Schizosaccharomyces pombe: one gene and its partners. Changing the gene in region 1 together with any one later gene gives a genetic interaction. Each region holds a gene or a part of one and is shown on either strand. Other genes may lie near its edges.

Region 1 (5,809 bases):
TCATAGAAGTGCTGATTCCCAAACAAAATCTGCGTTACCCCCAAATGTTCCTGCAAGTTCATCGCCATTACCTCCTATGTCAATTGCTATGAACATTGCTCGGAAAAGATCATGGCCTGCCAGTTTGGCTATTGAACGTGACAACACCGCTGACGCCCTCTTTTCTACTGAAGATGGTAGGGAAGAGCAATTTAATTTGGAAGGTGTCAAAACAAAATCAGGAAGAAAAGTGCATCGCCCTAATCATTTCGATCCCCTTGTAAAATTACCTACTAGACGACGTGGCCCAGGTCGTCGACCTGTGGTCGCATTAGCTATGAAATGTTCGGTTTGTCAACGACTTCAATCTCCACCAAAAAATCGCATCGTTTTCTGTGATGGTTGTAACACTCCATTCCATCAACTTTGTCATGAACCCTATATTTCTGATGAACTTTTAGATTCCCCCAATGGAGAATGGTTTTGTGATGATTGCATTAGGAGAAAAAAGCAAGCGCCTCTCGTAACTGGAACTACGGCACGAGAACTAAATCTGTCTTCGGAAGAGAAAAAGTCTTATCTTTTAAGTCTTCCGATCTCCCAACTGGTTGACATCCTATTATTCTGTGAGCAATTACATCCCGACATCCCGTTCTATAGTCCTAAAACTTCCACTATTGTCCAAGAGCTCCAAAGCAAAAGGTCTGCCTTTACAGCTACTATGAATGAACCTGTAACGGGAGATCAGTATCTAAGTCTAAATAATGGAACAGAATCACAATCGAAAACAACCAAGCATTCGACGTCCTTACCTTCGACCGAACCAGTTGAAGTGGATAAGCAATACATGGAGAGTGAAAAAATTCCTACCATAGATGAATACTTACAAGAATATAGCAATGAAGATGAAATAGTTTTACAAGTTTTAGAATCTTTCCCTGCTGCTGTTTCTTTTTCTACTATCACTAACACTATTCAAGCGTAAGTTTTCTATATATTTTCCTGACATCGTCAATTACTAATATTCTAGTAAATACTCGAATAGAAAAATTAAAAATTCGAACATAACTCGAAGCTTAAACAGACTGGTCCGTAAAAACCGTGTTTTACGTGATGCGAGGGGTAGCAGCTATGAACTGAACAGAACGTTTGATGCCGATCGACCATCAGTGCGCCCTGACATATCTATAACCGGCCCCATTCCTATCGATTGGATGCTGTATACGCCTCACACAGAGGATTTAACCGAAAACTTTTGTACTTATTATATGTTCGACGAAACTCCAATTGTTCTTAGTAGTATTTAACGAGTATCTTACATTCTGCATTGTTTGTTGAAGGGTATAACAACATTAATGATTTCAATTTATTCCAAGATTTAAAAAAATTATTAAAAAGTAAAGGTAGAGGATATTATAACTATACAGTCAGTAGCAAAAGGTTCTTGAATATGTTTAAAGACGGAGTTGTAAAGAATAAATAATTTTGAGTAATTCATGTAAATAAATAACAGATTTATGTTGTCCAAAATTTACGGTCCTAAAAATAAATTAAACCAGATCTTCAATATCTTGTAAACTTTGTTGGGAGAAATACTGGGATGATTTTTTTGCAACTCGCTTTGACCTGCGCAGTGACCTAGTTTCTTTTGTAGTTGAATGGAATGCGACAGGTGGCTTCTGATCTACATCAATATCAGCGGCTGGTTCTTTTTTCAAAGGTTCATTCATGTGTGATATACTATCAACAGGGTCCAAGTCCTCAAGTTTTATAAGTGATTTATCTTCGATGCTTTGGTAATACAAATCATCTGTAGGAAGGGAGAGTGGAGATAGAGGAGGTGACTCAGAAGCAGGTCTTTTTTTGACTCTTTTAATCGTTTTGACTTTTCTCTTAGTTATTGTGATGCCACTTTTTTCTTTAAAGGCGCTAGGACACAAGCCCTTAGAAGATAAAGTACACATATCACAGCGCCTTCCTCTTGGTAAACAGATTGTTTGCCCAAAACCGACAAGTGTATGGTTCAGCTCAAACCATAATTCCTTAGGCAGCCAGCTTTGCAAAGCAGCTCTAGTCTGTTCTTCAGTTTTCGTATTACACCAATGAAGAAGATTACATATACGATGTACGTGAACATCTACTCCAATTCCAACAGTTTTATTCCATGCAATACTCATACATAGATATCCCATTTTAGGCCCCACACCTGGGAGAGTCATTAGGTCTTCTACGGTGTCCGGAATATCTCCTTGGAACTTTTCTGATAAAATACGTGCCATTTGTTTCAAATAAATGGTTTTTCGGTTATGAAAACCAACTTTCTCGATTAGTTTATTTAGAGAAACTTCATCAATATTTTGGATATCTTCTAAACAAAGTCCTCCAGCTAATTTTTCTTTTAAGTTTCGCATGGTAGGACCCAGTACTATATCTTTTGTTTGGCTAGAAAGCATCAATGCCACCAGTGTTTGAAATCGAAATTTTTTTGGATCATTACGTTCTCCTAATGTATGACAACCCTGAACGTCTACAGGCGCTACGACCTTGGCTTTCATTTTACAAATTTCATCGTAAACCTCCCTCCAGTTCTCAGGAGGAGTTCCGTAGTCTTTACTCATTGCTTAACAAATACAAATTTGTCTGCAGTCTTGGCTAAAGATTTTATTTTCTTCAACAACTCATTTACTGAACTTTAGCGATATTACATCCAAGAAACAACGCAGGTGAGCGCAAAAATATTAAAATTTATAAGTGATTTGTTTTGAATACAATGCGGTAATAGTCTGACTTGGAGTTTCTCAATTTTATAAAAGAAATAATTTTTTAACTAAGCCATATATATGCCAAGGCGAAATTCTCCTACGCATTAAGAAACAAACACTCATTATATTTTACTGCTTCTTTTTCAAAAAGTCAGCTTAAGAATCATCAGAATGCTATGGGAGACATTACTTTAGGTCCTCCATCATACAGAAGGGAGGAAAGTAGAGTTTAAAAAAAAAACAAAAATTAGATTAATTAAAGATCACGAATTGCTAGTATTATGGAAACAAATGATTTTTACAGCAGTACTACAGCTATAGGGCAAATTATCCTGTAAGACAGTATTATTAATTTACTTTTGCTATAAAACAATATCCATACTAAAGAGGTAAATCAATATTAGCTTCGATGAACTCTTCCACATCACAAAGTTTCGGTACTTTATCTATAGCTTATGCGTACAAACACCGTAAAGCCCGTAGTAGGTAGTATCTGTTTGGAATTGGAGAAGGCCCCCTTATAGCTTGTGGTAGCCACCTTGCCTGCATTTTTGTCCCTTCATCACGATCAGCTCTAATTTCATGGACAACGAAATAGTCGCATTATGCGGCTTCTTCGTAGCCATTGCTTTAGTGCTATCATGTATTTCTATCATTACTCATTTGAAAAATTACAAAAAACCAGTCTTACAGCGTTCTGTGGTGCGAATTTTGATGATGTTCGTAAAATTGAAATTCTTTGACTGATATAGAAATGTACTAATGCTTTGCTAGGATTGTAATTTACTCTTCTGTATCGTTTTTATCGGTATACAATGAAAAAATTGGAAGTATTTTCGAACCGTTTCGTGAAATTTACGAGGTAGGTTTTTCTCATTTAGCCGTTGCCATTGAATGAAGTACCTTCCTTGGCAATCAATATATTGCAGATTTGTTTTAAAATGCTTGAAAAGGGGTTGACTGAAAGAGTGGTTTGGCTGTTATGAGTTGTACTATGTTGGTTTACTAGTTTAGTTAGTTAATGAGGCGTAATTGAGGTTTTAATGGAATAATTTCTAACAATAAATTAGGCATTCGCTTTGTATTGCTTTTTCTGTTTATTAATTGATTATCTTGGCGGAGAACGGGCTGCAGTTATTAGTTTGCATGGACATCTGCCTCGTCCTAGGTTATGGCCCTTGAATTATTTGCAAGATGATATTGACCTAAGTGATCCTTACACCTTCCTTTCTATAAAACGTGGGATTTTACAATACACTTGGCTTAAACCATTTCTGGTGATTGCCGTGCTGTTAACAAAAGTCACCGGAGTCTACGACAGAGAAGATCAACCTGTTTATGCTTCTGCAGACCTTTGGATAGGTCTTGTTTATAACATTTCAATTACGCTTTCTTTATATTCACTAACAACTTTTTGGGTTTGCTTGCATGAAGAGCTCGCTCCTTTTCGCCCTTTCCCAAAATTCCTTTCCGTTAAAGCTATTATATTTGCCTCTTACTGGCAGCAAACCGTTCTTTCCATTACAAACTGGCTGGGACTTTTAAATGGAACAGGCTGGATTTACTCCTTACTAAATCAGAACGTTCTCATGTGTTTAGAAATGCCCTTTTTTGCCCTCTCACATTGGTACGCTTTTCGAATCGAGGATTACGATACACCCACATGGCTGTCTTGTGCAAGACTACCGCTCCTTAAAGCCTTTAAAGACGTAATCGGGTTGAAAGACGTCTGGTGCGATAGTTTGCAAACTCTACATGGAGATCGTTATGTATATCAAAATTTTGAGCCTGGGGAGAACTTAATACCTTCAAGAAACGATGGAAGGATTAATAGAACAAGTCATGGTCTTCGGTACAGTCAGGGAGGTCAATCGAAATACTGGATTTCTCGATATGATCAATCTCGAGTGCGTCTCATTAACAATAGTCAAAACTCTCCACAATCAAATAAGTCCTACTTTTCTATCCCAGGGATGTCAACTTCACATTTCGAAAATGGGCTCCAATTTGAAATAGACGATGAAATGGAACCATTATACAATCAAGCGAAACAGATGCGTTATGGTGATTATAATTATCCAGTTCTTCTAGTGAACAATACTCATGCATCTTCTTCATATACATAAAAGTCACTAGAACCTAGTAGCAAAAGAACTTAATGTATTGCTGAATGGCATTGCATTGGACCGTTTGGTTTTTGGCATTTGATTCTGAGCTGCCAAAACAATTTCATTCAGATTTGTCTCTAAGACAAGACCACCAGATACTACCTCAGCAAGAATAGCATGTATTTCTTGGAATTTAAAAACCTATATTGTGTTAGATCTTTCTAATTCGCTTTCAAACAGATGGCTTTCAACTCTTCTAATTATTTCTTCCTTCAATATCCTTTTTTTTTGGCGTATACACTTGTATTTGGATAATTATTACTAACACCTCCTCTTTTTTTTCATTGGAGATTGCGAATCATCGACAATGAGACTCTACTTCCAGTTCTATGCATAATTTCTTTCTTGAAGGCGATGAGAAGTAAAGGAATTAGGAATTAAACTCTTGTAGTTCCTAAGTTCAATAAATGATAAAAATAAATGTTATGCTCTTTTGATAATCGAATATTGGACAAACATTAATGTTTCTTGTAAGGCCAAATTTCCAAACATTCGAAACCAAATAAGAAAAAAACAAATTAAATAAAAAAAAACGGAATCAATGGTTTCAAACATATAGCAGTAGGATAATGGGAAGATAAACGAGTAGTGAAATGTACTTACCAAATCAAGCTCGCAAACATTATTAAAGCATCGATCTAATGCTTCAACAAATACCTTTAATAGTTAGAAATTGGAAAGTAACTAATTTCAACTTACTTGAATGAGATCGAGAATTCCTAGTTCACTTTCACCTTCATCTACTACAAAAACGAAGTAGAGAGTAGCGTACTGGCGATAAATTATTCTATTTTTACCTGCAATTAAATTACTTTCCAAAAAATTACAAGCGGTTGGGGGCCTAGTGGATACAGCTGCATATATATCTCCTATTAACTTTTGTTGAATGGATTCATCAAT
Region 2 (6,261 bases), 3.9 Mb from region 1:
CTTAATTTTTTTCAATGTCACTGTATTTTCAACGCATAACCACGAAAGGATAAGAACTGTAGATTGGAAAGGAAACAGTCCATGATCAATTTGTTGGAGAAACCATTTGGTACTCTTTTCCTCCGAATCAGGACTAAAATCAAGTTTTCTGCTTTGGTCAATACCTTTGAGTTGGATTCTCAAGCGATCGTAAATTTTGAAAAGGCGTTTCATTTTTTCAAAGTCATTTTCAATGAATTTCCGTAAAAAGCGCACCCTTTCTACGGTGTCAGCAGGTAAAGATCGAAATAAAGATGCCAGAATAGCTAATATATGTTCCAGAGTATCGGCTGCAGATATTTTCATAAACGCAGCAAAAATATATTTCAAACCGCCTGCTTCTACAAATCGAATACAATAAGGAGTGGAAAGAGGCCCAAATAAAAGATAGTCCAAAACTTTGATTGTAGAATAACGGCTTTTTCCTTTATGTTTCATATTTAGTATGCATAATTCAATACCTTCCTCTTTTAGAAAAAGGGATTTTCCTTTCGTTTCTTGAACCAGACTACATAAGCAATCAAACACGTTTTCCATCATTTCTTCTTCTGATCCTTGGGTTGGATCACGAAGCCTATAAGGACTGATCCGGCGCAACAAAAGATCAATCCCATTCAAGTTGCACACTTTCAATTTAGCTTCTTTTGAATTAGCGAGAATGATAGCTAAAATTTCAACAGCGTACTGCAAATTAGTTGATATAGAAGTTTCATCAACAGACGATCTACTCAGTAACCATTCTACCAATGTTGTGTTTTCAACTATTATTGAACAAATGCTATTGTCCACAGATAATAAATTCTCCATAAGAGAGAGCACACAATATACTCCATGTCGGTCTTCCTCATTAGATTCGTCAAACCTTTTGATTGTATTTGAAAGCAAAGGAAGCAAACCAGAATCTATAAGGGAAGTAAATAAGGAGTTTAATGCGTCTGGGTCAACATCCTCGTCAGTCAGTTCTATCAATAGCTCCAATACCGTAATAGTAATATCCGCATTTTCATGGTTCATTAATTCTAAAAACGTGGAAACACAATCTAATTTAAGGAAAATGGGTATGAGGATAGGATACTCTGAAAGCACATTGAAGCTTCGAATTTCCAGATCAAGATCTGCCTCTGATTCTATAAACCTTTGAGGAGAAGTAGAATACTTGATGCGTAACTCCTGATTATTATTAATTGTTTTTTCAAGTCGTACTACCATGCGCTTCAATTCAGTAGGAGTCAATGAAGCAGGTTCTTCCTGGGCTTCCTGTTCGTCTAAAAAGTCTAAAACGGTTTTTTCACTCTTTTTAAGCCCACTTCCAAAAAATCTACCTCCTTCCTCGTCAAATTCTTCATTCTCCTCATCGCTATTCTCTTCAGCGAGTCTTCTGCGACTACTAGCTGGCTCCAAAGAGTCTGCTTCCTCAGGGTTCCTTTTCTTATTTGTTTCCTCGGTATTTTTAAAAATTGAATCTACATCCATTTAGAATAATGTATTTTTTATGCGCCAGTTTCCTTTTCAAATTGAATATATGAAAACCGTCTGATACAAAATAAATAATTTTGACAAACTTATATTTTATAGCCGCATCAAGTAAAATAAAAGCCTTATGAAAAGACTATCGTGCAATTCAATTATAACGCCTGACTCGTTCCTAAAATTCCTCTCGTTTACCAGTTCAAGTAAAAGCTAGGTAAGATGTAGGCATGTACAAAGTGTATCAAAAGTGAAAACCAGAATCTAAGCTTGGAAAAAAATAATAACAGCAAGTAAATTCCCCTCTGTTTTATAAATATTATACAACTCTTATATCCAAGAAAGGAGAGATTGGAAGAAGGATAAAAAGTGTTTATTTAAGAGAAGAGAAGCTAAATAAAGTGCATGCAGTTAACTCGAAATTTTTTAGGTTGATTAAATAAGGAAGAAATTAGATCCATCTTGTATTACCTTTCTTTTAATTGTAGCAATGACTTTTCAAAAGAGGGTGTAAAAATGACATCCTAACTGTATATATGATAAAATTACAATTATGGATTTTCTAAAGCAATTTAAATTTAGCTATTATCACTAAAACAGTTCGGCAATTTGCAATATTTGTCTAATAAATGAACCATTTGTTTCATAAACAATCAAATTCATTAAGCTACAAATCCTTAATTGTATCTTTAGTTTTGAGTCAATCAACTTACTGGGATCCTATAGCTTTTTTGAATATCATTTGGTAAATTCAAATATGGCTCTTAAAACTTGTATTTAATTTGATAAAATTTCTGTGTCGAGAGATAAATAAATAAAGACAGTTAGAAGTAGATGCTATTCAATTAATAAATAAAATACTCGTCTATTAAGCTTTACGGCTTTCCAAAAATTTATATATCAGAATAAAATATTTCACAATTTTTTTTTTTTTAAAAAAGAAAAAGCAATCTCAATTTTCATTTCCTTTAGTAATCTGCATACCTTTTAAAATTGTGCACCTTTTCGAATTTTACTAAATAACTTCTAACTTGAACTGTCTTTCTTATTCTGCGTTTGGTCTTGTAATCAAGTGTCAAGTCCTTTAATATCAGAAGGAAAAATTATCAATTTATAAGATTAGCATTTACGGGTGTTCAAGTTGTAGCATATAACCAATTTTTTATTGTTGGACGTAAATTCGCATGTTTCAAGCAGAAACAGTATGCTTAAAGCAGATTCAGTCAACATTACGATGCATTGATTTTTCAAAGGAATGTACTATCGAAATCACAAGTCGTGGACTACGGTTTGCAGTGGAGGAATCGCAGTCTTTGCAGGGTAAGACAAGTCGAGTCTCACATCTATGATCGTTAAAAAATTTGAAGCTACTTAATAAAGTTTCATATATTAATGCGATTCTTGAAATGCATTCACTTTTTCTTTATTGTTCACTCACACATTAAGCTCACGCCTTTCTTGATAAGTCGTTGTTTCAAACGTTTAATTTTCAGGGTGATTCAGATGGGGATACATATATGTTCCAGACGATGATTTCACCTCTTTTACAATCATTATCAATTTATACAGATGGAAAAGAACGGATTTCAACTAGTGCCTGGGATCAACCCACTGTAAACATAATGCACAAACGAGGCGTTATCTGCAAAGTACAGTATAATGGACCCGGCTGTCCATTTATATGGGAGTAAGGATTTTATCATTAACATTCTGTACTGACAAAAATAAAGAGTAGAGGAAATGGCTGGTTATGCTACGGCTTGTGAACTGTTGACTATGGAATGTGAGGACGACGTTGACATCAATAGACTTGCAAGCACATTGTGCACGAAGATCATTATGAAAAGTAACTGGCTATATGATGCCTTGGTGGAATTAGACAATAACATGGGCGAAAATTTAATTATTCATACATCATCCCAAAAATCAACCTTCTTATTGAGATGTGTAGGGGCATTATCCACTACGGAAATAGAATATCCAAACGAGAAAAGTGTTTTAGAGTCTTTTGAAACTGATTCTGAAAACACTTATTCCTACCGCTTCTCATTAATAAGACATGCGCTGAAAGCATTACAAGTGGGTTCTAAAGTAAACCTACGTATTGATGAAAATGGAACTTTGAGCATTCAAATCATGCTTGTCGGTCAAGAAGGGCTTTGTACGTTTGTAGACTTTTGTATTGTTCCTTTGGACCTTGTAAGTGAAGATGAGGAGGAGGATGAAGAAGAAGAACCAGCAGAATCTAATCAGTCGGACAATAACGTTTTACGAAACGATCCGAATTATCGAGGAGATGCGGAGACCGAGGATGAGGATAGCTAAATGATAATTTTAGCACTCAGCACTTTAGTGTTTCCGATAACTTCAAAAAAAGAAAAAGGTACAATTGATACTGAACAACTTATGATAATACACTTATTCAACGAATCATGATTTATTTCCCTGCTTTTTGTTTGGTCTTATTTAGGTAGCTTAAAGTCACACCGTTTCCTCACTTTTTCTATGCTTATTTAACACACGTATAAACAAGACGCTTTCCACTAGGCTGTCTAGCAAAGCATGTAGCCAACAAAATTCCCATGTATCATACACACGATTATACATTATGGTTAGATCTACGAAGCATTCAAAAATTCTTCAAACATTATTGATTTTTAAAAAATAGAAAATGCAAAGTGACACTCATAAAACATTTGTTTACTCAAAATGGAGTCTCATCTCCTCTTGCATTCCATTTTTGGACGTTGTTGAGTCTCTGATCACAAATTCTCGCACTTTCCAACTTTATCTTGATAATTCTCATATCCTCACCCTCCACGTATTGTTTCGTATTACCCTTGTCATTAGTGTTTAAATGCTTTTCTCTAAAGAATTCCTCTTCTTTGCTATTCTTTGGAAGAACGGTAGCAAGGCCATTCAAGGTCACTGATGTATTCGAGAACTGAGCCTGATTCATTTTATAAAGTAAGGTGTACAATGAGGAGGCATCAGGATCTGTTTCTTGACGATTAGTGGTCCAGTCATGAACTAGTAATGATACTCGAGGATTCTAGTCATCATGTTAGAAAAAAGAAAATACCAATCAGGATCAAGGATAAGTTAAACTTTTAAATATGATACATACCGAACTGATGTTAAAATATTTTTTACTGTTTTCTCCTGTTGACAAAATAATGCAATCCTCCACTTCGTAAGGGGCAGCGCTTCCTGCAGGTAAATAGGTAAATGTCATCAAAGAAGAGTGAGGCTGATCATGAAAGCAAGTAGCTAGTTGAATATATTTGGATGAGGACAAGCATCTCTTGATTTGGCTGGGGAACTCATGAGATGAATCGACTTTTGAGGCCATATTTACTTTCAGGTTATTGTGGTGCGACAAAGATTATAATTTGCAGAATAAATACTGGTGAATGGAAACTATTGATCCAGACAAAACTGTACGATAATTTCTATACTTGATTATCCTTTCCTAAATTTTGGTGGTACTCCTCTCTGAGTAAGCAGGTTTGATACTAGGTTAATAGCAGAAATGCTGACTCACAACTCAACGTAATATAGAGGTATGTACTAAACAGCCAACTTACGAATTTTGCAGGGGAACTAAAGATTAATAATCTTCAAAGGAATACTGCTCATAAAATAAACGCGCTCATTTCTGTGTATCTTGGAAAATTCATACGCATTATGATTGTTGGATTTACTTACTCAAAACTAATTTCCTTAACTTATAAACACTAATTTTAGTATACGGATTTTTTTTATTTCGTAAATTAAATTAATGTAAAAATGAAATACATTAAGTCATAACAGCACGAAGAAGCTGTATTTTAGTCGTAACAAGGTTTTGGAAAACCCTTAGAAAGAGTAAAAGTGGCTATAACAACTGATAACTAAATTTACCAATGATCGATCTTCATCGTTCCTTTTTCTAAAAGGTTGAGCTGCATCTTGAAAGCATTGGCAAGAATATGGGGTTCATGACCAGCTCCTCTAGCTAAACAGTAGTTTTCGGCAATATCGAAATACTCTCTGAGCAGAGGCTTATAGTCAGGATGAGCACACTTGTCAATAACCTCACGAGCACGTTCGGTAGGAGACAAGCCTCGTAAATCAGCCAATCCTTGCTCTGTAACCAAAATATCCAAATCATGTTCGGTTTGGTCAACATGGGTAGCCATAGGAACAATACAAGTGATACCAGTAGGATCCTTCTTCGAAGGACGAACCGATGGTGTATGCATAATACTTAATTTCGCATTACGCAAGAAATCAGCAGAACCACCTAAACCGTTCAACATTCTGCTTCCCAAAACATTTGTACTATTGGCATGAGCGTAAATATCGGCTTCCACAGGAGTATTCATAGCGATGCAACCAAGACGGCGGATAATTTCAGGGTGATTGGAAATTACTTGAGGGCGTAACAAAATTCTTTCCTTGTAGTAATCATAGTTTGAGTAGAATTTTTCAAATCCCTGAGGAGAAAAACGGGTTGAGGTAGCAGTAGCAAAACGTAACTTTTCAGAGTCAAAGAGAGGCAAGAAAGTATCTTGTAAGACTTCTGTCCACACTTCGAGATCTTTAAAGGGAGAATGGGCAAGACCACCGATAATAGCGTTGGCAATGTTTCCAATACCGGATTGCAAAGGATGAAGATTTTTGGGAAGACGCCCTACAGATACTTCATGATGGAAAAAGTCAACTAAATGGCCTGCAATAGCCTGCGAAGTCTCATCTTGCGGAGAGTTAGCG
Region 3 (6,320 bases), 3.7 Mb from region 1:
AGATGACGGTAAGAGCTCGACCCAACTAGAAAAGAATCTTATCACATTGGGATGGTTTAATCTTGCCAAGGTCCTAGATTCACGGAATATGTTAGAAGAAGTGGAGAAAGAACGTAACCGAAGTGGAATTTTTTTTAAAGCATATTCAACTCCATCGAATTTATTTCGAGCTTTATACACTGAACCATAACCGCCTTTACCAAGTAACTCAAGTTCTTCAAAATCACTTGCATATCTTGACCTTTGGACTGTGGGAAAGCTATCAAAGTTGCTAAAAGACAAGTTACCGGTTCCATCTTTGTGCTCACAAAAATCAGCAAACGTGGAGGACTCCAAAGTGGTTTGTGGAAAGCAAGATTCCAATGCTTCAACTGGTAAATGATTTAACCTATTAGACAATACGTTTACTGAAGGCTTGACATTCATCACATCGTCTTCGTATCCACCATCACTCAATACGCTCAAGAAGGAAGCAGTTTTCGCCAAAACGCCATCAGGGCTGGAATACCTCGATTTCTTAGAATCCTTAGTAGAGCTCATGGGTAAGGTACTCCGAAAAGCTTTAGATAAGAGGTTATGAAGAGAATCGGCATAAGCATTACGAATTGGTTCAAGCTCCTCGGAGAACTCAAAATCTATGATACCTGAATTTTGAAGCGAATGAGCAACATATAAAAACATTTGCTTCGATTGCTCTGGAGTTTGATCAGAATGCTTACAAAAGCTTTCTAACAACGCAACGAGAAGCAACTTGCAGGAACTTTGAGTATCCGCGGTTTTTTTTTCGAAATTCTGTTTGTAACCGAGACCAATTGTCGGCATAATCCGACTGATATTTTCCTTGGCATAGTTGCAATCCCTTTTCGAACATTTAGTAGAAGTGCCGAGCATTCTTGTGTGAATGAATCAAATCAAAGCAAATAAGAAAAGAGAAAGAAGAATTGAATAAGATGAGTAATTTAAAACATGAAAATTATTCCTTTTTTTTTTCTCTAAATGAAACGAAATGTACAATCCTAATTATCAGTCTATATTGAATATATAACAATAATAGTAACAATGCTATCTATGAAAACAAGAAAGAATTTGCAATTAAGGAACGGTAAAACTATTATAGAAAGAAGGTACGTTTAAGTCAATTTATATGTCTGTATATGTGTTGTTTATGTAGCGGATTTCCCCGGATACCTCTCCATATTTAAGTTATTGTGGGATTTTCACTATCGTTACCTCTATTGCGATACCAACTTTTCTAGGTAACAACGTTCAGCCCCTTTCGTACTGAATGTTGGTACAGTTTACATGTGTAGCCGACTGCATCGGAGGAGGAATAACTATCGAACATAGTCAATTCCGATGACAGACAGCCTGAAATTTTCGCACTTTTAAAGAGGAACTCGCCATTTTCATCACTTCTACGTAAAATGTATAGCGATGCCTCCAAAGTACAAGAAAGAATAGGCGGAAATTAATAGAAGCTACAGTCAATGGCATATATCTTCTCAAAAAAACGATTAAAATATTCAATTTTTATTAAGTATATATTTCCCATTGAGCACTTAAATGTTCAATTGAGACTTTATAGATTTCTGAACAGTTGCTTGTCTAAAAGATTAAAGAAAGATGAACCAAGGTTTATTCATATTCAAGTTAATTGCTTGAAAACATACGTTTGTGTTTAATCGTATGTATCTCTCATTGAAAACGTGAAAACATATGGATTTTATCAACAGATTTTCTGTGACTTGAACATTATATTTCTTTTTGGTGTTATCCTTTTAAGAGATATCAACGGAATAGTAAAACACTGAGTTGCCGAGATTACAACAACTGTATAAAATAAATAAAAAAGAACGGTAAGATCGATAAAGGAAGAGAGAGAAAATAAGTATAAGCATGGTAGATGTTGATTAATCTCTTTTCATTTTAATGTACATTAAAAATGTGGCTAGTCACTCATAACAATTATTCGTTAATTAAATCAAATCATAAACAAATTGAAGTAACCTTAGTCCACATAGGTACTAATGTAGTATGTTAAAACAGCCGTATGTTCATCTTCTGGATCTGTTATATAAACATAAAGTACTAGCGCATGTCCTTCACAGAAACCTGTAATGTAAAAAGGTTAGTTCGTGGTCATAAAAAGGATTCTCTCATAGTACATACACGCTATTACACGCTTTGCAACACTGGATATTTTTAACATGTTGACTAAGTCCTTGCTGTCTAGTCTCATGTGAACAAATTCTTCGGGTGCCCTTGTTTGAGAGGGATGTCGACTGATGTCTTCGACTTGACTAGGATCTAACTCTGGATTCTCTAATCCTTTCCATTTTGTGCTTACTCTAGCTGAAGGTATGTTTACCGATAACTGCAATTCGCCTGACATGTTGGCTGACATTATAATACGGTCTGAAAGACTCTTGTATTTGTCCACGACGTGTCTTAGAAAATTCAGTTGTGGAAGGAATATATGACAGTCTGGTTCAGGAGCAGTTGGTTCCTTAATAACTGACACGTATGATTGTGATAGTACTCGAACAGGTATATTATGAGTCACAATATTCGAACCAAACGCCCTTCCACTCCAAGTGGTAGACAACGAAAGTAATGGCTGGTTATTCTTCTTGGATAGACGAACAGTAGAATCACTAGCGTTGGCCGCTGATCGTAAGGCTTTATAGAAATTATCTATAGGAACTTCTAGATTTATCACGTTGTCTGCATTGCTTTGGACGACATAGTCCTCAAATATTGTTTCCTTTCCGTTTACGTTAGTTAGGGCAATCAAATAGAAAAAGATAGTTAATCATACGACTTCTAAAACTCTGTTTCTTTATTAGTTTCACAATGTGATTTTTTTCACCGTTAAATGCTTAATATCTTCACTTACGACCAAACTTGAGTCATCCTAAAATCTGGCACTATCACAAAATTTACAGTTTCAGGCATCAGACGAAGCCAGCAAAATCTTCCAATTTTATCTAGCGCCTGAACAAGACCTAAATTTGATTAGTAAACGAACTTTCTGCTGATCTTTTCCAACTTACGCGTCAACGTGTACAAGTTGCTAATCCTTGTTTTAAATCTCATTTTCAGTCTTTGATTTAACTAATGAGATTGAGATTTTTTGGCATTTTGTTTATTCAAGCGTTTAGCAGGTTAAAGTCGACCAATAATAAATTTTCGGTCGAAAAAACTACGAACGCGTAAAAGCCAGCTAAGAAATAGCAAACTGGGCATTAGCAACTGCATCGCAATCTTTATTAAGCAAATGCAAATTTTAATGGCAAGTGGAATAAAATTAATGAATAAAATTTAAAAAGATTTACAAAAGTCTTAGAGTCTAAAAAAAATTATACTCAAGAGCCTATTCGTTGTATCATTTATTTCATACGATTAGCTATTCCTAAATTTTAAATTACATTAAAAAAATAAATGGCAAGTAAGAAGGGTTCTAGCTAGAGCAGGAACATTGAATTTGGCTTTTGGAGGGAGTAGTGTTATAGCATAAATAATCCTCTTCTTCCTTGGAAAACCCCCAAGTATCTTCGAACGGACAGGCAGCCATTTTACACACTTTTTTAAAAAGCTCAAATTTCCCGATGTATGCTTCTTTAATCACCTCTTCAAGAACCCAATTTCTAAGAGTAAAATGTGGGTTGACTTTTTTCATGCTCGCTAATCGGGATGAATCTTCCTGAGTTTTCGTTGCTTCACTATATCGACCAACCCAATTAGTGAAAGCTTTGACAGATTCATTTCTAACTCTTTCATTATTCGGGTTTAGACAAATACATGCTTGCATCAATTTTGCAGCATATTCTTCATTCTCCATTGAAGAGGGAGAGTTTCTAGAAAGAAAGGAAAAACAATTTGGCATATCCAATTCATAATCCTCCAAAATTTGTAACAAATCAGTTATCAGAATTTTGTTAGATGAGTCAGAGGGAAGACCCACTCGTTTGAACATAAGATCATAGAAATCATTCTGGACAATATTTTTATACTCTTCTACTATCTTTTCAAAAACTTCAGAAGTATAAGCAAACGCCTTTTTTAACAAATCAGTAGAGTTATGAAGTTGTTCCATATATTGCAAGTCATCAACTTTGTCGCAAGCTCCAATTAACTCAACCAAAGCAGATGCTAATTTTGATAAATTCCAAATAATAATATCAGGTTGGTTGCGATATGAATATCGCAAAAATACATCGTCATGATTAGGTGTAAAAGATGGGTTGTAAACATCTAAAAATCCAAAAGGTCCATAATCAATTGATAGTCCCAGTATACTGGTATTATCAGTATTCAAAACACCATTCATAAATCCATATGCTTGCCATTTGGCTACAGTTTTAGCATTTCGATATGCAACATCTCGAAGAAGTTTTTCGTAGCGATTTCCAGTATCTCCACCATGAAATCCATCTTTTAAAACGAAATTTAGACAATAGTCGGCTAATTTCCGTAAAGACTCAATTTGATTATTAATCCCCTGGAGATCGAAAGTCCCAATTCTGATCCAAGAAGGGGCCATACGGCAAACAACGGCGCAAGGCTCTACAGTCTCACGTTGTGCTACAACACCTTCAAGATTGGAAATTGCCAGAGCCTGTGTTGTTGGAATGCCTAGAGCATATAAAGCTTCACAACATAAATATTCTCGAATGCTAGATCTTAAAACAGCCTTTCCATCTGCAAATCGAGAGTATGGTGTTCTTCCTGCGCCTTTGACTTGAATCTCAAAGCGTTTTCCAGTTTCCGGGTTGGTAAGTTCGCATAAGGATACTACGCGGCCATCACCCAACTGACCTGCCCAATCCCCAAATTGGTATCCTCCATAACATTGCGCCCAAGGACAACACTTATTGACATCAACGTTAGAACCGACAACAAGCTGTTGAAAAGCTTCAGTTTGAGTTTCAGATTCTTCGAGTCCTAATGACTTCACGGACGAAGGGCTATAAGCTAATAATTGAGAATTGGCTTTTAGTGATGGAGTCAAATAAGTAAATAAGCCGCCGCCTTCCACAAATCGAGGAACATGTAAGATTCTGTCATCAGCCTTTTTCATTGCCTGTACGGTCGGTACCAGTGGATCAGGCGGAAGATTTGATGTGAACGTTGAGCTGACAGGGAGATCCTTCAATTTTTTTGACATCGTATTGGTATATCGAATTAATGTTCTTTGCATACCAATGTTTGATTGTGCCCCAGTGTAAATTTGCTTACTTTATTGATTATAATAACAATAAAAGCAGCAATTCACTTACATTTGATCAATAACAGATCAAGTAGACTAGTACGTTGAAAATAGCTGGTAAAATACATGCTATGTGATCAATGAGCAAACTAATGAAAACATCATTTTAAAATGATAGCGAATGAACAGCAATTGTTATATTAATATGGAATGGCATTACTTTGTAGATCGTTGGATTTCGTAATTTGTTAATTAGCATTTTTAGGAATGCAGAATCATTATATATAGAGGAATATTTGTAACAATTTCAATGACTAAATAGTGGTAGATGAAATCTACAGAATTAAAAAGTCGGAACTGAGAAAATAAAACTAAGCTTACTTACTATACCATACTTGAAGTAGATGAATAAAAACCTGCAAGCACCCAGGCACTCAAACATTTCAGCTAGTGGTGGAAACTGCGTAGAACTAATTTCTCTATGATTGCTTGTCAATTACATTGGCAAATAACTTGCAGTGTTTTTCATATACCGACTCATCCGTTATCACATGACAAATTTTTTAAAGTAGATATACTATTGACAAATTAAATATCAACAGGAAACCAACGTACACTTAAATCTTTGTATTTATAGTTCTAAATATATAGAAAAAGATATTTAAGGAGCGTTGAAGGATCGGTTTGCATACCGAAACGAAGTTATTTAATTTCATTTCGTATTACGCATGAGTCAAGAAATCGTAACCAAAAGTGTTTTACTTACGAGTAACCTTCTCAAGAACTGTCTCATAAGCAACTTCGGAGAAATCAGTTGCTTGGATGTCAGTACCGATTCCAGTAAAAGCGCGACGTAAAGTATCTTTAGAAGAAGAGTAAACCATCTTAGATTTAATGGGAGCAACATCAGGAGACCAGCTAATAAAGATAATCTTGTTACGAACACCTTCTCCGAGATTGAACTCAAAATCATAGATAGCATAACGGCAATCCTTTTCAGGCAAGTCACCAAGGAAAGTATCGAAGTCCTTATCCGTACTCTTCTTTTCAACAACAATTTCAGCTAAACAAAAAAAAATTAGTGAAAGGTTCCACATAATTATAAAAACGA
Region 4 (6,230 bases), on another chromosome or scaffold:
ACTTAAAAGTTGAAAGGCTAAGGGGTCGTATCCTGCACCTAAATTCACTATTGCCTTTCTTTTGCCGGTTTTATTCTTCAAAAACTGGTACACTGCAAATCGAATAGCCATGCATCGTGTCCAATAACCTCTATTTACGCTTGGCGATCTTCTAGGTGATTTCTGTATAAACGGTTGATAATAAGAATGTCCTACGGTAAAACCTGGATATCCACATTTTTCAACTGAGGCTTTTGAAAGAATTGAGCTGTCATTGGTTTTACGAACTTCTCTATCTTTTGACTTAGTTTTCCTTTGATTTTTGTTTGACATTGTATATGAATAAAGAGAAGCTCATTTAATCTTTCGAAGCCTTGAGAATTTTTGCAGTTAAGTTACACAAGCTTACGAAGATTAGTGGAAAGGAATTATAATATTGATCAGAAAACGACAATACCAATATGACCGGAATTGCTTAAAGTTTTACATAATTCGTGTAAATCGTAAATTACTAGTTTAAATTTTATATTTAATTGAAATGTTTTATTGAAATTTGATTGTAAATAAAACAATAACTTTTAGATTAAATATTAGCATGGACAGTAAGCAAATAAGAAAATAAATAGTACTCTAGTGAATTTTTTCGGAAATATCTAGAGCCAAAAAGACAAAAATGATTGCATTGAAAATGCAGATGGCTAAATTATGCCATAAATCAAAAAGTATGACGGATTTTTATTTTTCATCCTCTTCTACTTCTTCTTTTCTACTACGCCTTTTTCTTGCAGTTAAACGCTTTTCAGCTCCGGGCGGATAATATCCATCTCGAGTTTGATCGTATTCAGGCCCCATAATTTCAAGAGGACATGGTGGATTTTGTAACTCATAACGTCTACACAATTCAAATACAGCCTGTTCCTTTTCCTTAGCTTCTATCATTAGATCCATTGTAGGATCACACGGTGGAAAGTCAAACACCCTATCAGAGTGAGCACGTCGTTTCATCCCAGAAATCGCCGTTGGATCAGCCGATTCTGAGTAATGTTGCTTCTGTGTAATTCCCTTTCTTGTCCAGGTTTCTCGAATAGTTGGGATTAATGGCATTAAATCTAAACTTCCTTCACGAAGCGTTCCTGGCACTATGTTGTGATGATGCCAATCCAAAACTAGAGGAATATTAAGTTCTTGGCATAAAGGTAATAAATCTTGAACTGACCAAGAAACATCATCGTTTTCTAAAACTAAACGAGCTTTAACCGAATCAGACAAGCGTTGATAATTTTTACGAAACCTATCCAATGTTTCTTTTTTTCCTTCAAAGGTACCACCAAGGTGAATAATTAAAACAGCGTCTTTATTTAATTGTTCATTCAACTTCATACGACTGAGAATTTCATCATGATAAGCCAAATCACGTATTGCCGAATCAACTACGACTTCTCGTGGAGAGGCTATCTGGGTGTACTGACCAGGATGCATAGTCAATCGATGATTATATTTATTTGCCAGCTTGCCCACCTCCTCGAGATGAGATTGTGCAAATTCAAGGGTATATCCATACTTTGCATGGCTTGCGAAAGGAAATAAATCAGAACTCACTCTCATGAAGTGAATGCCAAAGTTGTGATTCCACTCAACCAATTTGATTAAATCTAAAACATTTTGCGTACCTAGCTGCTTGACACTTTCGAGCCCATCACGTTGAATGGTTGTAATTCGGCAGGTGCGTGAACAAAAAACCCTCTCCTTCATTGACCTTAAAATAGTATTCAAACAAGCATACCCCAATCGTCCTCGCCAGGGTATGGGTTTGTCCAAACAATCAAACATCTCTCGTGGAGCATGATCATCAAGATTCATTGTAGATTCTTTTTCTAAATTTTTTGCAGAAGAACGAGACCGTCTTCGTTTAGAAATTGGAGTTTCCAACTGTTCCGGCACAACCGGTTCGAACTCGTCAGAGCTACTTTCATTTTTAAGAGACTTTTCGTCGACTTCTTCAACATACTCCTCTTCCTCTTTTTGTTTAACTTTTTTAGTAGCTTTACTAATTTGCTCCTCCGATTCGGATTCTGACGAGGAATTGTAGTTGACCGGTTTTTTTGATCTCGACGATCGCCTAAGATGAGTTGAAGAATCATAGGACGCAACAGACTCATCAATTTTATCGGAAACAGAATCTGTCGCTTTCTTTTTACTGCTACGTGCCCTCTTTCGTGTAGACGTAGAAGTACTTTTTTTGTGAGGTCCACTGATATTAGCTAACTCAGTCTCATTTTCTTTTTTTAAGTCGACTGGTGTTTCGGCAGAGAATGAATTCGCACCGATATTAACTTGCGGTAACATTGAGAGTGTGGTTTTTGAGCTCATTGGAAGTAAACTTTTAAGGGTATCGGGTAAACAATGAAAACGAGAGTAAGTAATGGTACAAACCGACGGTACACAAGGATGATTACCTTTAAATGCCTTTTGTTTTAATATGGTGAAAACAATGCGTTTAGAGATTTGAATATTTCGTTTCAATAGCCTAAGCATTAAAAAATGAAAACGATTTTAGTATCAATATGACATTATTTAGAAGGAAATAAGCCCTTCGCAAACTTGCTTATATCCCTACAACTATTATCTTGTAAGTGAAAAGAGATATCGACAAGAAGTGATTGAGACTCAATACTAGTCAAAATCAACGAGTGTGAAGACAAATCTTCTTTCATTCCCAGTAAACCAAAAATGGTTTTGTATCATTGTTACGTCAAAATTCGCTATGATTTTATTGGAAGGCCATGAGATTACTGATGCTCAAGGGATTCAACTTTTGACAGTTATTGTTCAGTGTAGATAGGACTGCTTTTACGAGGAAATTTTGGTTTCTCAAATCGAGCTTAGTTTAGCAATACAATGTTAAGTAAAAAGATTGTGTTGCTTTCTCTTTAATAATTGCAGATTCAGTTGAACAATCAAAAAAACAGCAGATAGGAAAAAACATTTGAAATGAAAATTTGGCCAAGTCAAGGAGTCGCGACAATTTATTTTACCATCTGTAGCATATGTGTGTATGGGAAGCAGAAGTAGGCGGATTCGGGTCATTTATATTGTATTATGAACCGTCTTAATGCTGCTTTCTGCTGACATGGACATCTTTAAAAATATACAAACAATTACCGTGTAATTCACAATAGATTTAATACCATCAGCATTAATGAGTTGGTTGAGAAGCCATCATTGCGAAATCGCAATGTAGGTAGAGTAAACGAAGCGAATTGTTTACGATAAAATACAGTATATCTTTAGAACCGTAGATAGCTGCATCAGCGAAACGATTGGTTTTTTCTGCAAATACTATTACAACCAGTAGCATGAAGAACGCTTCTTACTGCCGCATCGTTTTTGCCGACCTGGCTGATCGATTGACAAAACAAACTTCTAGCAGAAATAAATGATCAGCGCTTCTTATATTTAACATTTGGCAGCGTGCTGCCCGCGTGTGAATATTTTCCTTAAGTTTGTATCCCAACAGAAAAGCGTAAAAAATTGGAACCACATTGAATCTTCAAATAAACAATATTAACATTACATTTCAGCATAAGCATCGACTATACATGACCTCGAGGTGTTTAAAGAATTAGTAATTCTTGCTTTGCACATAGTTTATAACGAAGTACGTCCTAGCATCACTCGATATTATCATTTAAGGTAGCACCACTATTGCTCTATACAATCAGCTATTACATAAACGTTGTAAGAGAGGAATTATACAAACGTCGACGACGGCGATTAATTGTTACCTTTCCCCTTAATTGAATACCATGACTGAGAATGAGAAAAGCAGGTCTTTACCTGCTGAAAGGTTCGTATATTTAAAGAAAACGACTAATTGATATTAGAAACCCTCTCTATAAAGACGATACACTTGACCGTACGCGCTTCCCGAAATTACGTGAAACTAATATAGCAGATACACCATTAATCCCAAAGTGTCGCGCTCAGGTAATAGAATTTCCTGATGGACCAGCTACTTTTGTTCGTCTCAAGTGTACAAATCCGGAATCTAAAGTGTAATTATCTTTTTTTTGCAGTGTTGTTTTTGGAAAAATACTAATGATGTATATAAATATAGACCTCACTTTCTTATGAGGATGGCAAAGGATTCAAGCATTAGTGCTACGTCAATGTAAGCGTTTTTTCATATCTTTTTCTAAAAATCTAAACCCGATTAGGTTTCGTTCAGCTTTCCCTAAGGCTACCCAAGAAGAAGAAGACTTGGAAATGAGATGGATTCGTGATAATTTAAACCCAATTGAAGACAAACGTGTTGCTGGACTATGGGTGCCTCCTGCAGATGCCTTGGCTCTTGCCAAAGACTACAGCATGACCCCGTTTATTAACGCCTTGTTAGAGGCATCCTCCACTCCTTCAACTTATGCGACTCCTTCACGCCCCACTGCGCAGAAATCAGAGACATCTGAGGGGGAACCTGAATCTTCGACATCTGCCACTACCACTTCTGTTGCTAGGCGCACACGTCAGCGTCTTGCTGAACATCTGGAGAATTCCAAAAAGACAATCCTCCAACATGATAATAAAGAAGAAGACAAGGAAATACATTCCGAAGAGAATGAAACGAAGGATGAAATTAAGTCTGAGAAGAAAGAGCCAGAAATCAAGAAGCAGGAAGGCGGTAGTTCTACTGAAAAAGTAGGTCAACCCTCTTCTTCGGATGATAAAGCAAAAGGATCAACCTCTAAAGATCAACCCTCTGAGGAGGAGGAAAAAACATCTGATATCCAAGATAGAAAGATTAAGACACCTATCAAGCCTTCTCTTCTTGGAAAGATTAGGTCAAGTGTCAATAAGGGCATGACTGACGTTGCCAGTCAAGTTAACAGAGGCATGACCGATGTTGCCAGTCAAGTTAACAAGGGCGTGAATGGTGTTGCAAGCCAGGTCAACAAAGGCATGAATGGTGTCGCTAATCAAGTTAACAAAGGTGTAACTGGTGTTGCAAGCCAAGTAAGAAAACCTGTCGGAAAGTTGGAAAAGAAGTTCGAGAATTTGGAAAAGAGCATTGGGGATACTTTGAAATCTTCCATTCGATCCTCTCCAAAGTCAAAGAAGAGAAGTAGAGAGGATTTTGAGGAAAACGAGGATTACAATGCTATGGTACCTGTGAAAAGGTCGCGTATCACCAAACTGGAAAGCGAAGTTTACTATGAAAAGCGGAAAGTCAGAGCACTTGGTGGTATTGCTATTGGTTTGGGTGTAGGGTAAGTATTCAATGATTGTGATAATTGGTCTTTTCCCTGGATTTAAAATCATTTACTAACTATCTTTCGCAGCGCAATTTTACCTTTTCTATTTTAATTTAATAGGGCCCTTTACCATTTTGAAACTACTGGATGTTAGAATTTAATGTGACATATGTGCTTTAATTTGTTGATGTAGTTTTTCGTGTTTAATGTGAAAATCAATTGACTTGATGACTTTTTACTTACTTTCGATTATGATTTGGGATTGGAGACCTGCTTCAGATTGATTTAGGGCTGAAATAACTTAATTTCCGATTGATTCTAGTGCACTATTTGGTTATCTTAATGTTTTATCACTTATATGAAGTTGTTTTAGTCCTGGGAAGTGTATTGTTTCCAATTTATTGCGGAATGTGATTTTTCCAAGTTATATTGATTACTGTACTTTGCTTTAGTTTTGTTTCATTAAATTTTCCTATTTTAAACTTATCTAGCAAAATAGCAAAAAGTAACATTTGTACGACTAACGAATAACTAACTACTATAGAAAACTAAAGAGAGTCGAAAATAGAATCTTCTTTTACTATGAAGATATTACAAATGTGCATTGTTTATATTCCAACTTCAATATTTCTTACTTCATAAGTAATAAAATTCGCTCGGTTTACACCCTTAACATACTATATTCAAGGTTGAGGACAAAGTTTTGGAAAAGTGCAATTAATGCTTGCGATTTGCCTACCATACAATAATAAATGCTAGTGATCAATTTTTGATATACAAAGGAGAAAAACAAGAGCATTTTCTTCAATTCTGATATTCTCCACATTAGATTATATCATCAATGTCCTCTCAAAAGAGAGCAGATTCCTCAAGTTCTTTTGATCAGGCGGAACGTCGATCTTTGGATGAAAATGAAAGGAAAAAAAAATATTTTTTTAATAGAGAAGGTTCCGGTATTGATAATTTTGAAACGGACGGTATGGTTTTTCAAGCTTCGAAAGC

Evidence for each region.
Region 2: mutations in nth1 (region 1) and rad1 together harm fitness more than expected from each alone (negative genetic interaction), as found in Schizosaccharomyces pombe (2 studies listed by BioGRID).
Region 3: mutations in nth1 (region 1) and hus1 together harm fitness more than expected from each alone (negative genetic interaction), as found in Schizosaccharomyces pombe (2 studies listed by BioGRID).
Region 4: of nth1 (region 1) and uve1, a mutation in one rescues a mutant of the other (synthetic rescue), as found in Schizosaccharomyces pombe (one study listed by BioGRID).

The regions. Positions count from the first base shown.
Region 1 is NC_003424.3:1,105,244-1,111,052, forward strand, and holds nth1 (DNA endonuclease III), read right to left. Parts: upstream 2,634-5,809; 5' UTR 2,598-2,633; coding exon 1,530-2,597; 3' UTR 1,287-1,529; downstream 1-1,286. Other genes in the region: Lsd1/2 complex PHD finger domain-containing protein Phf2, read left to right, coding at 1-960, 1,010-1,286; transporter Hfl1, read left to right, coding at 3,324-3,460, 3,516-3,603, 3,812-4,867; AP-3 adaptor complex subunit Aps3, read right to left, coding at 4,874-5,050, 5,513-5,566, 5,609-5,809. UniProt on the Schizosaccharomyces pombe protein: Bifunctional DNA N-glycosylase with associated apurinic/apyrimidinic (AP) lyase function that catalyzes the first step in base excision repair (BER), the primary repair pathway for the repair of oxidative DNA damage.
Region 2 is NC_003424.3:4,975,929-4,982,189, forward strand, and holds rad1 (checkpoint clamp complex protein Rad1), read left to right. Parts: upstream 1-2,649; 5' UTR 2,650-2,690; coding exon 2,691-2,826; exon of another isoform or gene 2,827-2,952; coding exon 2,953-3,193; exon of another isoform or gene 3,194-3,236; coding exon 3,237-3,831; 3' UTR 3,832-4,210; downstream 4,211-6,261. Other genes in the region: SPOM_SPAC1952.06C (uncharacterized protein), read right to left, coding at 1-1,512; SPOM_SPAC1952.08C (pyridoxamine 5'-phosphate oxidase), read right to left, coding at 4,211-4,558, 4,634-4,858; ach1 (acetyl-CoA hydrolase), read right to left, coding at 5,406-6,261. UniProt on the Schizosaccharomyces pombe protein: Recombinational reparation of DNA damages induced by UV and gamma radiation.
Region 3 is NC_003424.3:4,819,483-4,825,802, forward strand, and holds hus1 (checkpoint clamp complex protein Hus1), read right to left. Parts: upstream 3,222-6,320; 5' UTR 3,097-3,221; coding exon 3,054-3,096; exon of another isoform or gene 3,006-3,053; coding exon 2,897-3,005; exon of another isoform or gene 2,832-2,896; coding exon 2,819-2,831; exon of another isoform or gene 2,765-2,818; coding exon 2,170-2,764; exon of another isoform or gene 2,113-2,169; coding exon 2,009-2,112; 3' UTR 1,505-2,008; downstream 1-1,504. Other genes in the region: eIF2 alpha kinase Hri1, read right to left, coding at 1-891; fmp40 (adenylyltransferase), read right to left, coding at 3,461-5,167; adf1 (cofilin), read right to left, coding at 5,968-6,272. UniProt on the Schizosaccharomyces pombe protein: Essential in controlling the S-M checkpoint that couples mitosis to the completion of DNA replication. It is also required for the response to DNA damage.
Region 4 is NC_003423.3:2,837,072-2,843,301, forward strand, and holds uve1 (endonuclease Uve1), read right to left. Parts: upstream 2,515-6,230; coding exon 715-2,514; 3' UTR 501-714; downstream 1-500. Other genes in the region: tRNA methyltransferase Ppm2, read right to left, coding at 1-312; integral nuclear inner membrane protein Bqt4, read left to right, coding at 3,786-3,826, 3,864-3,895, 3,935-4,034, 4,097-4,150, 4,197-5,243, 5,316-5,340; SPOM_SPBC19C7.11 (ClC chloride channel), read left to right, coding at 6,070-6,205. UniProt on the Schizosaccharomyces pombe protein: Endonuclease for the repair of UV-irradiated DNA. Involved in the excision of cyclobutane pyrimidine dimers (CPD) and 6-4 pyrimidine pyrimidones (6-4PP) which forms the UV damage repair (UVDR) pathway. Also functions in oxidative damage repair in vivo.